3 linked regions of the Oryctolagus cuniculus genome follow. The protein of the gene in region 3 interacts with the protein of the main gene of each other region in a biochemical or structural test. Links are inferred from orthologs where the notes say so. Each region holds a gene or a part of one and is shown on either strand. Other genes may lie near its edges.

Evidence for each region. The genes of interacting proteins can lie anywhere in the genome.
Region 1: the proteins of FGFR1 (region 3) and FGF4 form a complex in vitro, tested with the Homo sapiens proteins (2 studies listed by BioGRID and IntAct, with this or other methods). The link is inferred for Oryctolagus cuniculus from reciprocal best matches to the Homo sapiens genes FGFR1 and FGF4.
Region 2: the proteins of FGFR1 (region 3) and FGF6 interact in a biophysical measurement, tested with the Homo sapiens proteins (2 studies listed by BioGRID and IntAct, with this or other methods). The link is inferred for Oryctolagus cuniculus from reciprocal best matches to the Homo sapiens genes FGFR1 and FGF6.

The regions. Positions count from the first base shown.
Region 1 is NC_091432.1:3,167,161-3,171,961, forward strand, and holds FGF4 (fibroblast growth factor 4), read left to right. Parts: upstream 1-1,655; coding exon 1,656-1,995; intron 1,996-2,555; coding exon 2,556-2,659; intron 2,660-3,122; coding exon 3,123-3,299; 3' UTR 3,300-3,509; downstream 3,510-4,801. UniProt on the Homo sapiens protein: Plays an important role in the regulation of embryonic development, cell proliferation, and cell differentiation. Required for normal limb and cardiac valve development during embryogenesis.
Region 2 is NC_091440.1:105,004,222-105,009,434, forward strand, and holds the start of FGF6 (fibroblast growth factor 6), read left to right. Parts: upstream 1-1,621; 5' UTR 1,622-2,026; coding exon 2,027-2,372; intron 2,373-3,183; coding exon 3,184-3,287; intron 3,288-5,213. UniProt on the Homo sapiens protein: Plays an important role in the regulation of cell proliferation, cell differentiation, angiogenesis and myogenesis, and is required for normal muscle regeneration.
Region 3 is NC_091433.1:88,163,358-88,168,131, reverse strand, and holds part of FGFR1 (fibroblast growth factor receptor 1), read left to right. Parts: intron 1-163; coding exon 164-430; intron 431-1,881; coding exon 1,882-1,971; intron 1,972-2,249; coding exon 2,250-2,422; intron 2,423-3,572; coding exon 3,573-3,696; intron 3,697-4,774. UniProt on the Homo sapiens protein: Tyrosine-protein kinase that acts as a cell-surface receptor for fibroblast growth factors and plays an essential role in the regulation of embryonic development, cell proliferation, differentiation and migration.

The DNA of each region.
Region 1 (4,801 bases), on a different chromosome or scaffold from region 3:
GTTGCCCAGGGTGGTCGCAGGCCTAGGTCTCCCCTCCCCAGAGCAGGTGCCCAGGGGGACCTGGGCTGGGGGCGGGGGGAGCCCACTTACCATGCTGGCTTGCAAAGAGAGCCCAGGCGGAGAGAGAAGAGGACTTGCGCAAGAGCATGGTGAGTGAGGAGGAGGCGCCAGGGCTCCTGCACCCTGGCCGAGACGGGGGCTCAGCGGCCGAGACGGGGGCTCAGCGGCCGGAGCTGTGAGCTGGCGACCCCGAGAGGCCAGGCCTTGGCAGGTGCAGCTCAGACCAGCTGCAGGCCCAGAGAGCAGCAAAAGGCCTCGCTGGGTGGGTTGGGGGTGAGGGGTCTGGAGACTGGGGGTTCTGGTGTGAGTGCCCACCCCACCCCCGGGCCTCTGGGCAGAGACCTCAGGCCTCTCAGGTCCCTGCCAGGGATGGGGGGGTCTGACTCATGCTCATCGCTGTGGCGGGGACAGTGTGGGAGGTGGCCTGGGTCAGCTCCAATCACAGTGCTGGTGACAGCAAGGGGTGGGGTGGACTCCAGGCCCCCTGCGGCTGTGGCTGGGCGGGGTCTGCTGGGAGGCCTCAGGCCAGCTCCTCAGGTACCAGAGAACAGCGATTTTCACACCTGGGGGAGCCGCGCCCATCGCACCCTCAGGGAGGGGGAGGGGAGCCTCGGAAAGGCTGGCCGGGTCCCTGCTGGCTGCACTGCTGTCCTGCACTGTTCCTGCTTCGGAATCCGGGCGGGAGGTGGGTGTCCACCGAGACTGGCTCCTGCTGCCTCTCCCTGCGCGGAGGTGGGCGTGTGCAGGGAGTGGGGGGCCGTGGCCGCCCCTGGGCGCCTGCCAGACACCCTGACTTCCCTTGGCAGCCCCCACACCACGGAACCCCACCCCTGGAGGTCCACCCCTGCCCGGCCAGACCAGCGCGGCTGCTTGCTGGAGCCACCCCTTCCCCAGAGGCCCGTCCCTGAGGCGCCAGCAAACACACAGCAAAATAAAAAACTGGGTTCCCGGGAAGCCCCCAAAACGTGCAGTGCTGGCAGAGGGTGCGCGAGTTGGGGACCCGCCCGGGGCACCCGAGCCGAGGCCGGGACAGGCAGCGACAAGGTGCCAAAGGCAGAACCTGGGCGTCGGAAAAGCAGAAGCCCAGGAGATGCGAGGGGCGGGACGCACAGCGCAGGGGGCCGGGCGGAGCCAAGGGTGGGGGCCGGGGTCCCTCCAGGTGGCACTCGCGGCGCTCGTCCCCGGCCACCTCCCCTCCCCCGGCGCTGATTGGCAGGAGGCCTGCGACCGGCCGCGAGCGCCACAGCGCCCCGGGCGCCCAGCGAACGCGGACGGCCCCCCGCGGGCGCGGGCGGGCGGGCGGGAGGGGGGCGCCGGGCTATATAAGTAGCGGCTGGCGCCCAGGCCCGCCGAGCGCACACAGAGGCGCGCACCGCTGCGCCGGGTCCCAGCCCGGGCCGCGCGTCCCTCCGCAGCCGCCCGCCGTTCTATGCAGCCGAGGTAGCGCCCGGCGTCTGGAGGCCCCGTCGCTCGCCGCCACCGCTCCGCGTCGCGGCCCAGATCCCGCGCTCCCGCGGGGCGTCACAAGCGCGCCTCGGCCCCGCGGCTGCCCCGGCGCGCGCACCCCCGGACGGACGCACGGCCCGCGGGCCGGCATGGCGGGGCCCGGGACGGCCGCGGCGGCGCTGCTCCCGGCGGTCCTGCTGGCCCTGCTGGCGCCCTGGGCGGGCCGCGGGGCCGCCGCCGCGCCCGCCGCACCCAACGGCACGCGGGAGGCCGAGCTGGAGCGCCGCTGGGAGAGCCTGGTGGCGCGCTCGCTGGCGCGCCTGCCCGTGGCCGTGCAGCCCAAGGAGGTGACGGTGCAGAGTGGCGCCGGCGACTACCTGCTGGGGATCAAGCGCCTGCGGCGGCTTTACTGCAACGTGGGCATCGGCTTCCACCTCCAGGTGCTCCCCGACGGCCGCATCGGCGGCGTGCACGCAGACACGAGCGACAGTGAGTGGGGCCGGCCGGGCGGGAAGGGTCGGGGCCGCCCCTTCCGACTCTCGCCGGCGCTCTGGAGGCTCCGGCCGGGCACCTGCCGGTTGGCTTCCGAGAGCCGGTCAGGCTCGGACTCCGGTCCCCGCCTCCCCAGGACCGGGGCGCACGCCTGGCTCCGCCTCTCCGCCCTCGGAAGCCCGGGCTCCGGGTGCCGAATTCCAGCCCCTTCACCCCGTGGGCACGGAGCGCGCGGCGCGGCCGCTGGCGCCCGCGGGGGCCCGGGACACGCGCCCAGGCTGGAGCCGGCCTCAGGGGCCGCCGTGGCCTCAGGGGGAAGCTTCGCTCCTGCGGTCCCGGGATGGGCGCGGGTGCGGCGGGCCCCCGACTCCCGCGAGCGGGTCCGGCCTGTGCACGCACGGACCCTGGAGGTCCTTTGGGGACGTGGGGGGGGGGGGCAGCCTGCACCAGAGGATCCCATCCCCACCCGGGAAATTGGGTTCCCGGAGGTGTGCCAACCTGGGGGCTATGTGGGCCAAGGGTCACCTGCCCCCAAATGACGCGCGCCCCTCCCCCAGGCCTGCTGGAGCTCTCGCCCGTGGAGCGGGGCGTGGTGAGCATCTTTGGCGTGGCCAGCCGGTTCTTCGTGGCCATGAGCAGCAAGGGAAAACTATACGGCTCTGTGAGTACCACGGGGGCTCGGCCCCTCCTGGCCCACCTGTGCGGGCTGCCAACCATGGCAGTGGGATCTCTAGCCCCTCAACGTGCCCAGGGACAGGCAGGCATAGCAGCAGCCCCAAGAGAGGAACCCCCCACCCCGTCCCGCCGTCCAGGAGTGGGCGGTGAAGGGTCCCTGGAGCCCCCCTCCCTGGGGGCGGGGAGGTCCTAGCCAGCAGGCTGGCGGCTGAGTGTGAAATTCTCTGGCTGCGAGGTACCTGGCAGGTGGCGCAGGCACCAGCTGTCACACACGGACCGGCCATGTGCGGCTCCTCCTTGTGAGGGTCTGGGCTCCCTGACCGCCCAGGAGAGACCCTGTCAGCACAGAGCCGGCCCTGTGGTCACCTGTGCCCTCCCCTCCCCGCCCCAGTCCCTTCCCCGGGAGATGGCTGCAGCTCATGGCAGCCTTCTCCCCCCTCTGCCCCCAGCCGTTCTTCACTGAGCAGTGCAAGTTCAAGGAGATCCTGCTACCGAACAACTACAACGCCTACGAGTCCCACAGGTACCCCGGTATGTTCATCGCCCTGAGCAAGAACGGAAAGACCAAGAAGGGGAACCGGGTGTCGCCCACCATGAAGGTCACCCACTTCCTCCCCAGGCTGTGACCCCCCCCCCCGGGGAGGGCAGTCCTGAAGGCTGTCTTGTGCACTTTCTTTGGTTGGAGAGTTGGACGAACACAGGAGCGGGTGTAAGATATTTAACTTAATTATTTAAATGTGTATATATGGCCACCAAATTATTTATAGTTCTGTGGGTGTGTTTTGTATTTTTTTCTGGAAAGAAAAGAAAAAGGACAAAAAAAAAAAGACAACAACGGAAAGCGACTGTGCCTGTTTTGGTGCAACAGTGGAGAATCTGGAGAATCTGTCCGTCGGGTCGTCGTCGCGAATGTGCTGCTACCGGGTTCCAGCCTGGACTCTGCTTCGCGCCGGCCCCTGGAGTGCGGTGGCCAGCGTCCCTCGTCGTGGAAGGGGCCTGCCCCGGTTCCGGAGTGCCCGGCCCCTGGCCGCCTCGGCCAGCCACGGCCAGCGGCCCCCTCTCTGCCCCGCGCCCCGGGGCCGCGCGTCGTGGGGGAGGTGCCGCTCACTGCAGGCTGCTGAGCCGGTTTTAGATCTGCGAGACTGACCTTTGAACTTTCCTGTAGTCAATCTTCCTCGACCTACCAGATGGGTGAGAGACCCCAAGACGACTTTGTAAACTCCCGGCTTCCTTTTTTTGGATCAGCCCCGGCCCGCATTGCTGTAGCCGGCCCGCATTGCTGTGGCCCGCATTGCTGTGGCCGGCGGGGTGGGACAAAGACAAGCTCGGGGGTCTCTGCGAGCCGGAGCCGAGACGCTGGCGAGGAGGCAGCGTGCGACCCCAGACACGCGCTCGGGGTAACCTCTCAGAGAATGTATTCTTTTTTTTTTTTTTTTTTTTGAGCCAGGCTTCCCTCTGCGTGGGGAGCGTAAGCCTAGGGGTAGCTGTTCTTTTTAATGGCGTGTCCGTGTGGCTGCACGGTGGACGCGGAGTGTGCGTGGAGACTGCTGCGTTCCCTGGACCGGTCCAGGTGACATCTACCTCACGAACCCCCAGAGCGCTCAGAGCCCGGGCCGCCCGGCGTGCTGTCTCTCCTGCCGTCCGTAGCCCGGCGGACTGCCGAGAGCAGCGTCGGTGCGCCCCGCTGGAACCCTGTCCCGTTCGAGCTATCTTTACCCCAGCTTCTCTTTTAGTACGAGTAATCATGGTGAAAATATTCACAGACAGCTGCAGGAGCCAGTGCGTGGCCACCAAGTAACCTTATATTTCTCTTTATATATTTTACAAATGTCACCCCTGTCGCTGGAGCGGAGATGGAAGAGGCAGAGTCGGTCGGTGATGTTTAAAAAAAGTCCCGAGGTGCTGGGCGACGTTTAATTTTAATGAATGACTTCGGAGAGTTTGTACAAAATGACCTTCGCCGGCCACTGGGGATGCTCCGAATTCTGAGCCCTCTCCCGAATTAACTTTATGGGAGTCCACAGACAGCGAGGCTGCAAAGTCTGATTGGAGTTTTTGTCTTTCACATTCCTTTTAAACACGCTTTCTTCGCATGCAAATGATCTACTTAAAATCTGCTGGGCGGCGG
Region 2 (5,213 bases), on a different chromosome or scaffold from region 3:
ACCCAGGCACGGCAGGAGCTTCAGGCTCAGAAGGGAGCTAGGGACTCGCCCATGGCTTTCCCAGGCTGCCTGCAGTGTGGGTGTGGCACGCAGGTGAAGTCTGTCAGCTGGGTCAGCTCCTGCCCGCACACTGTGCTCAAACCCGTGTCTACTGCCCCTGCCGCCACCCACACAGCCCTCCCCATCAGTGCTGATGAAGACCTCAGGTGTAAGGGAAGAAGCCTAGATTTTAAGCTAGAGTTCATTTCCTGCGTGGCCCTTGTTAAGTTATTTCACTTTCATGGGGCCCGTGTTGTGTGCAGTGCATTAAACTCCAGTCTACAATGCTGGTATCCCCTACGAGTGCCGGTTCAAGTCCTGGCTGCTCTACTTCCCATCCAGGACCCTGCTAATGTGCCTGGAAGGCAGTAGATGATGACCCAAGTGCTTGAGCCCCTGACACTCACATGGGAGACCAGGATGGAGTTCTGGGCTCCTGGCTTCTGCCCAACCCAGCCACAGTTATTGCAGCCATTTGGGGGATGAACCAGTGTACGGAAGATCCATCTCTCTGTCTCTCTCTTGCTCCCTCCCTCTGTAACCCTGCCTTTCAAATAAATAAATTAATCCTTTAAAAGAATCATTTTGCCTTCAGAAACATAATTCCTTCTTTCTTACATTTGCATAGCAATTGGTAGATGAGGCTTTTTTGGTAGCTTTTTGAAAAAGGGATTTGTTGCATCAGTTAGACATGTAATCTATTTAAAAGCAATACGGGAGAAGAAAATTGAGTGTAGGCAAAACTTGTTAGCTGCAGTGTTTTTGCTACTTTCTGTCTGTAATATCAGCCTGGCATATGCAGAAAATACCAGGCACGTCAAAGGTCTCTGGGAAGGATCTTTAAAGAAACGCGTCATTTTGTGCTACTGAAATAATCCCACGATGTACTCCTGGATGGAGTGAGCTAAACCCACTCGGCGGAGCAGCCCGGAAATCGACACGCTGATTCTAGGGATGATCACGCACATACCTCCAATTTCCGACCTGGCTGTGTGCAAGCTGTGGTAACGTGGGCAAGACACTCACCATCCCTAAGCCCTAGCCTCCTCCCTTGTATGATGGGAATAACACAGGGCACAGCCCAAGGAGGAGCGCAGGTAGGGGAGTTATCAGTGAGCTATTCAAGTCCAGATACAACATCCCCCCTGTGGGGTGACTGCCTTAACCAGGATGGTGAGCAGGTGGACTGGGCCCAGCCTTCCCGCCCTCCGTAACCCGAAGACGCCTCAGAGCGGCCCCCAACCAGAATCTCCATGCCCTCCTGCAAAAGGGCTTGCGTTCTCAGCTCCCTCCTCACCACGAGCTCTTTCCATGAAAAGTCTCCCAGACACTTGTAGGCTACTGTCACCGTCTGCCTCCACGCCTTCTCTCATCCCTGTCTTTACCGTTTGCCCTCTAAATAAGGAAGTTGGCACTGCCAGCCCAAGAACTCTTGCCCAATTTGGGTCCTGGGTGGCCTCTCGCCTCCCTCTTCCCCCTGGGCCCCCAGCCAGCTGCCCCTCCCCCCACAGAGATGCTCCCTGCTAACCTCATTCCTGCCTCATAGTTGGAATGACAGTGGCTCCCAGAATCCCTGGGGAGTGGGGAGGGCGATGGGGGTCTGGGGAGGCAGCCAGGCCCAGGGGCAGGTTAATGTTACAGGGCTGGGCAAGGGACCTGGGCCGGCTGGCGTCAGGGTGCTGATGGGTGCAGGGGAGGGCCGGGCTGCCGAGCTATAAAGATAGATCAAATCCAATATAATCAGCTCGGGACACAACAAGCAGGCCACCTAGAGAGCGTCCCCAAGCCATGGTCCCTACCGGCCGCGGCTCAGCTCCGGTCCCGAGGCTCTCAGCCCGAGTGCCCGGAGCAGGCTTTGGTTTCGTGTCAGCAGCCTTCATCTGCCTTCCAAAAATAAGCCCCTGCCGCCATGCTGAGGGGAGAAAAACAAGAAGGGGGGTATTTTTAGGGCCATTAATTCTGACCACGTGCCTGAGAGGCAAGGTGGATGGCGCGGGGACAGAGGCTGTTCATCACTATGTCCCGGGGAGCAGGACGGCCTCAGGGCACGCTGCGGGCTCTCGTCTTCCTCGGCGTCCTAGTGGGTATGGTGGTGCCCTCGCCGGCCGGCACTCGCGCCAACAGCACGCTGCTGGCCTCCAGAGGCTGGGGCGCCCTGCTGTCCAGGTCCCGCGCTGGGCTGGCCGGAGAGATCGCCGGGGTGAATTGGGAGAGTGGCTATCTGGTGGGCATCAAGCGGCAGCGGAGGCTCTACTGCAACGTGGGCATCGGCTTTCACCTCCAGGTGCCTCCCGACGGCCGGGTCAGTGGAGTCCACGAGGAGAGTCCCTACAGTGAGTGCCCTTGCAGCCCACGGGGACGCGGGGGGCTCAGGCTGGAGCACGGCCGACAGACCTGGGGGCCTTGCTGTGGTGGGGGGGATGTTACCCCTCGAATGGCTCCTTCTGATTCTGCCTGGACGCAGATTACATGGGGTCGGGCCCAAGTATCCAGGTGTCCTGTGGGGTCCATCGGAGTCCTGGTAAGAACCATCAGCTGTGGATGCCGCAAGCTGGGGTGGGGAGGATGAATCTGGACCCTTGGACCAAATTAGACACCGGCTTATTTTTACTCAGGAGAAGGAAAGGCAAGCTGCAAAGTTTCTGGCTGAAGCACACCCTTCGTTTTCTTTCAGCCTGCTTGCTCGGTCCCCAGGTCTTTAATTTGAAGTCGAGAGGTTGCTGCATGGATGGTCTCCTACCCCGGGGGGGAGCATGGGGGCTGCAGGACCCTCGCCAGTGTTTGTGAGCTTAGAGGGGGCGAGATTGGTTGATGCATGTGAGCTGGACGTTAAATGATAATGATAATAAACAGGAAATGTGTGGTTTTGCCCACAACAAGGACCTGCCTGATTACGGCAGGGAAATCTCAGATTTAAAACCCACCTCAACTAGACGCAGAGGGGTGTGCAGAGCTTCTCCCTGCAGAACTGAACCTGTAACGGTGTCGTGGCAGGACTCGCACCCAGGATTCCTAAAGCTAGAGGGATGGAGGACACAGGTGGCGAGCGTCTGACTTTCTAGGAGCAAGGGGGGCGGACGTAGTCGCTCCTGGCAGGCTGATCCGCACACGCCCCGGGTAACGTGCTCCCCATCTCTTTGTCAGGCCTGCTGGAAATTTCCACAGTGGAGCGAGGCGTGGTGAGTCTCTTTGGAGTGAAAAGCGCCCTCTTCATTGCCATGAATAGTAAAGGAAGACTGTACACGACGGTGAGTTCACCGGGCAGGGGGATGCGCCAGCGTAGGGGAGGCCTGGCCTTGCCCCATTGAAGAAAAGAACACAGAATCCCAAGTTGAGGAGGGAATCGTTATCTCAGATGAGGAAAGCAGGAGCCGTGCAAGGAGCCTGAGCCTTGAAGCTTCCATCTGGTCAGCCTTGGCCTTGGGCCGTGATTTTTCTGACCCCACATGCCAGGGCCTCTGCAATGAATCAGAAAGCACAGCTCAGGGAGCTCTGGGTTGCAGGGAAGCCTTGGTGCTGGTGTGAGGCTGTTCCCCGGGGCACAGGTGGGGCTGGTTCCCTGCACCTCCATACGTGCTGAGCTCGGAAGTCCCCTGATGCACCTCCCTGTCGGGCTCTCTGGGCAGCCCCGGTCCAGCTGTCCCTGCACCACCTGGGTCACACCCAGGAAGGCACACACTGGCCCCTGGGTTCACGTAGCCACCCACCATACACATTTGCCAAAGCCTCTGGCTTCTGAGCCACTCATGCCCAGGGTTCTGCAGTCTGAGATTTGGCGTATTCCAGAAACATGGGCTGGGAAGACATCCCTGCAAAGCTGAAGAATCTGTGAGTACAGAAATAAGGAGGCTAAAAAGGACAGCCCCAGAACAATCCTCAAGGAATACCAAGCAGAGTTATTTATGGGAAGGGCGTGGAGGGCAAACTGACAATCGGGGACTGAACAAATAGTTCTGGGATGGGTGTCGGGCTCCAGGCACTGATCTCAACAGAGGAGGGTCAAGAAACGTGTGAATGGTTGACCAGGTGGCCCGTCATCCTAGGGCTAGCATCTCTGGTTGATTTGCATGAATATGTAGTATGGAGGAAAGTCAGTGGACCTGCCATGCAGTTCTGTGGACAGTCTGCATCCATATCACTTTGGTAATCTGTGGAAGTACAGGTATCCCGGGACCTTCCTCAGATACCCTGACTCAGTAGGGCTGGGATTAGTTTAGAAATGTCTGCTTTTTTTCTCTAAACATTTATTTTATTCACTTGAAATGCAGAGTTAAGGGTGGGTAGGGGGAGGGAGAGACAGAGAAACAGACAGAGAGAGAGAGCTCCCACCTGCTGGTTCACTGCCCAAATGGCCCCAGCAGCTAGGCTGGGCCAGGCTAAGGTCAGGAGCCCAAGTCTCCCATGTGTGTGCAGGGGCCTGAGCACTTGGGCCATCTTCTGCTGCTTTCCCAGGCCATTAGCAAGGAGCTGAATCTCAAGTGCAACAGCCAGGATTCGAACCAGCTCCCATATGGGATACCGGCACTGCAGGCGGCAGCTTTACCAGCTATGCTATAATGCTGGCCCCAAGTGTCACTTTTGTTTTTAAATGTCTCTTGTGTTTTGGGACACAGGCAGGCTTGGGGACCACCTGGAAACAGGACTTCTGGGGGGCAAGGAATCATCTCGCCCCCGGGGTACACCTGCCTCCGTGGTACACCTGCCCAGAGATGAAACCTAGCCTGTCACTTGGAGTTCTCAGACACCCTTTTGACCACTCTGGAAAGGCGATGAGATGGTCAGGAAGCAGCAGGGTCCAGCCCAGGCTTTGGGGGTGCAGGGACCACCCTCTTGGCAGTGACTCCTTCCACAGGGCCCCTTCTCAGCCGCCTGTGCAGCGCCAGGAATTGCCCATAACTGGTGGGCTGAGAACTTGGTTTTTGCCTACAGGACTCCATTCAGTGGGCTTGTAGCAGAGACATTTCTCGGAGGGAAACACAATTACATAACCTCTTCTCCAATGCGAGGTTTAATGGGTAGAGAAAGCAACCAGAGGGCAAAAAGCAGAACAGCAAAGAGGAAAGGAGCCATCCTTGGAGTGTGAGCTGCGTGGACGCCCACCAGACACGGGCCTGGCGCTCTGCTGTGTTGCTGGGCTGATGCTAGCAGGGTCAAGTGGGCAGATGAGTTCAGGG
Region 3 (4,774 bases):
GGGGTCCCAGGCCGCCAGCTGTCTTCCCACTGACCCGTATTCCCAGCCCCAACGCCAGTTCGAGGAAGTGAGGCCCGGTGGTGGCCAGCGTAACTCCCCCTTTGTCTCTCCCTCCTCCCTCGCCCGCCACTGCCTCCTCTGCCCGTCCCTGGGGTGGCTGCAGCCCAGCCCTGGGGAGCCCCTGTGGAAGTGGAGTCCTTGCTGGTCCACCCGGGTGACCTGCTGCAGCTTCGCTGTCGGCTGCGGGACGATGTGCAGAGCATCAACTGGCTGCGGGACGGGGTGCAGCTGGCAGAAAGCAACCGCACGCGCATCACGGGCGAGGAGGTGGAGGTGCGGGACTCCGTGCCCGCCGACTCCGGCCTCTACGCATGCGTGACCAGCAGCCCCTCGGGCAGCGACACCACCTACTTCTCCGTCAACGTCTCAGGTTGGTAGCAAAGCCCCGCCCTCACGCTCTCCCCGCACCTACCCCCTCCGGCCCACTGTTTCCGAGGGAGCGAGCCTCTGCCCCACGCTCTGCTTCCGATCCGCTGCCCACTAACATTGCTCCCTGCCCGCCGCGTGGCTTGGCTCTCAGAGGGATGGTCAGGTGGAGCAGGCCTCAGCCAGAGATGCCCTCGGGGCGTTAAGGCCCTGCGGTTTTGCCACCACAGCGTGGCCCAGAGCTCCATCCTGCCACTGTCAGTCGGTCCGGTGGGTCTTGGTACTCTAACAGAGGAGTTAGAGCCCCAGACATTGTGGCGGAGGTCCCTGCTGTGATGATGGGGAGAATCCGGCGGGGCTGCACCGCCTCGCCTGCCCGCCCGCAGGCTCTCCAGGAAGCAAGCGCCTGGCCTCTAGCTTTGGAGCCATGAGGGCAGCCAGGGAACCCCAGAGCTCTGTGACTTTGGGAATCTGCCAGTTTTGGAAAGCGACTGTGATTGCAGGAAGTGAGCTGAAATGTTCTAGAAGCTATTTGTGCAGCCCAGGGAGGCGGGCCAGGTGTGCAGCCCGTAAGCCTCCCCTTAGGTGTCACTTTGAACATGCCCCCATCTTCCCTCTCCCCCACCCTGAAAGTGCGGGGCAGGCTTGGGAAAAGACCTGCCTTGAACCCTGATTGGTGACCACGTGTTTGTGGAGCCTGTTCTGACAAGGGGTGGATGCTTGGTGGGCAGAGGTGTCGGCAGCTGCAGGCCGGGTGCTGGGGGCGGTGCCCAAGCCTGAGCAGGTGACACACAGGAAAAATTCGGACTGCAGGTGTCGGGACCCTGACTTTGAAACTAATTGCTGCTCTTTTTATTTAAAAACATTTGTTTATATGAAAAGCAGAGTTACAGAGAGAGAGTTAGAGACAGGCCAGAAACTCCATCCAGGTCTCCCACGTGGGTGGTAGGGGCCCAGCCCAGGCACTCAGTCCCTCTGCTGCTGCTCTTCCAGACGCATTAGCAGGGTCCTGAGTGAGAAGTGGAGCAGTCGGGACTTGAACCTGCGCTCATATGGGCTGCCAGCATCACAGGTGGCAGCTTAACCAGCTGCGCCGTGTCCGTCCCTGCAGCTAGCGTCTAGCTCCACTGTGTCTCCATCAGCCTGTGTGGCCCAGTGATTGGCAGCACAAAGAAGGACACAGGTTTCCCAGGTTGTGGTTCTGAGACCCGGGGTACTGTGAGTTAAGGGGGGAAGGGTGGAGTCCAACAAAAGAGGACCCCACTGGGGAGAGAAGGGCCAGGCACAGGAGCAGGCAGTTCTGGAACGCCGAGGGAGAGTGGCCGTGGGAATCCATATGGGAGGGCAGTCAGTGTTGGTCCGTATCGGTAGCAGTCTCAGTGGGGTGACCGCTGATAGGCATGGAGATCCAGAGCTGTGTCAGAGGGGACCTCAGTGCGCTGCTTCTTCCCGTAGATGCGCTCCCCTCGTCGGAGGACGACGACGACGATGATGACTCCTCTTCGGAGGAGAAAGAGACAGATAACACCAAACCAAACCGTATGCGTGAGACACTGTTTCCTATCTTACGGGCCTGGGAGTTTCGTTGGAGAGGGAAGGGAAAGGCTTGGCTGAAACTGGAGGAGGAGGAGGAGGAGGAGGAGGAGGAGGAGGAAGGAGGGGCACGTGGGGTCCTGGTGCCTGACTGCAGCCCCTGGAGTGTCCCTTGATGCTGGATGGTGGCAAACAGGTGCTGGGCAGATGGGCGAGGCAGCTCCCGCTCCTGCCTGGGCCCTTGCTCGGAACCTGACCAGCCCCCTCGTTTCTTGGCTCTCCCCGGGCAGCCGTAGCGCCGTACTGGACATCCCCTGAAAAGATGGAAAAGAAACTGCACGCCGTACCGGCTGCCAAGACCGTGAAGTTCAAGTGCCCTTCCAGCGGGACACCGAACCCCACGCTGCGCTGGCTGAAAAATGGCAAAGAGTTCAAACCTGACCACAGGATTGGAGGCTACAAGGTTAGTACACATAGATATGAAGGGAGAGGAGGAGGGATGGGACAAGGGAGTTAGAAAATCCTCCCTCAGCCGGCGCCGTGGCTCAATAGGCTAATCCTCCACCTTGCGGCGCCGGCACACCGGGTTCTAGTCCCGGTTGGGGCGCCGGATTCTGTCCCGGTTGCCCCTCTTCCAGGCCAGCTCTCTGCTATGGCCAGGGAGTGCAGTGGAGGATGGCCCAGGTGCTTGGGCCCTGCACCCCATGGGAGACCAGGAAAAAGCACCTGGCTCCTGGCTCCTGCCAGGATCAGCGCGGTGCGCCGGCTGCAGCGGCGGCCATTGGAGGGTGAACCAGCGGCAAAAGGAAGACCTTTCTCTCTCTGTCTCTCTCTCTCACTGTCCACTCTGCCTGTCAAAAAAAAAAAAAAAAAAAAAAGAAAATCCTCCCTCATATGCCTCTGTTTTAAATAGTAGTGCTTTCTAACTAATGCATTTAAAAAGTTTTTAAACACATAGGGCTGGTGTTGTGGTGCAGCCAGTTAAGTTGCCACTCGTGATGCCAGCATTCCATATGAGAACACCTGTTCGAGTCCCAGCTGCTCCACTTCCAATTCAGTTCCCTGCTAATGTGCCTGGGAAAGCAGTGAATGATGGCACCCATATCAGAGTGCCAAGTGCTAAGCACTTGGGCCATCTTCTACTGCTTTCCCAGGCCATGGCCGAGAGCTCGATCAGAAGTGGAGCAGCCGGGACTCGAACCGGTGCCCATATGGGATTCTGGCACTGCAGGCAGTGGCTTTACCTGCTATGCTGGTAAAGCACCGGCCCCGGGCCAAACTCTTAACAGGAGCCAGGCACAGAGGCACAGGGTTGAGAATATTCCTGGTATAATTTGGGAGAGTTTGCAGAAGACAGCTTGGTTAGACCATGGCTGGCCTTGAGCACCACGGGGAAGACTTCTAAGGCTCACGCTCATCTGCCAGTTTAATGGACGTGCTCGTTTGAGTGGACCTGGGCTGAGCACCACGTACTCTGTTCCTCCTCCCAGCTACTCTGCAGTTCTGATGGGGGAGCTGAGAGAGGCAGTCCCACAGGCACCAACACGGCCCCATGGCCTCTGCCTGCATTTTCCTCCAGACCCTCAGTGGAGCCCTTTGCCTGTTCCCCACAGGTCCGCTATGCCACCTGGAGCATCATCATGGACTCCGTGGTTCCCTCCGATAAGGGCAACTACACTTGCATTGTGGAGAACGAGTACGGCAGCATCAACCACACCTACCAACTGGACGTCGTGGGTAAGAGGTGGTGGCGCAGACCTAAGGTGCTTAGGGTATGGAGCGGGCATCAGGGACTCCCGGGATGGCGTCAGGATTGCACTTGCCTTGTCACCTTGAGCGGGTCAGCTCCTCCGTTTGCACTTTACTTTTCCCTATCTGCAAACCAAAGAGCATTAGGTGAGAATGTGTCCCAAAGCCAATGTCGCCATGAACTGGAAAGCACTGTTGACAGTCTACCCTGAAAGACGTGACTGGTTGTTGGGCTGTTACAGGGAGTGCAGTGGTAGCTGTGGCTTGATGAAGGCTCTTGCAAATCTGCTGTCATCCCCACCAGGCAGGCACGCGCCCACTGTACCTGCTGAGGCTCAGAGGTCAGGTGCCTGTGGAATTCCAGGCCCCTGCCGGCTGCTGGATGAGCACCATGCTTCTCAGGGCTGCTCCTGCAGCCGGTCCTAGAGCAGGGGTGGGAACGTCCAGCCCGCAGGCTGTACGAGGCCCACAAAATCACCTTGTCTGGCCCTGCCAGGGCAATCCCAGACGGGACTTTGAAATTCAGTACATGTATAGCAGGCTGATTGTTAAGTTGGATCATTTTATATGGTCCACGAACGACGTTATAAATATCCAAGTGGCCCTTGGCAGAAACAGAGGCTTCCCATCCCCGTTCTGGAGGTAGAGTCCAGCACGCTGGAGATGGAGAGGCCCAGGGACTCTCCGCCAGCCTCCCATCTTGGTGCTGGCCACGTGGTCTCAGCAGGGGGATGGGGTCCAGGCTCTGAGATCCTGCCTTTCTGACTCTCTCTCTCCCAGTTGGCACTGGTGCTGCTGTCCCTGGGCCACACTTTGAACAGCAGTGGTCTCGGCAGCTCTCTGGGAAGCACGTTGTGCTGGGATCTCAGGGTGTTAAGTCCTTTAAGCTACAGGAGACTTATTACTGTGCATAAGTATGGAGCGTGGCCTCGAGGAGGAGTTCCCATGGAGCCTCGAGAGAGGACTCAGGGTGGAGGCACTGGGACCCCGCGGAGATGCAGGACATGCACTGCCCCATCCCCGGGAAAGCCGAGGGGGCACTGCAGGCCCACACGTGTCCTTTCTT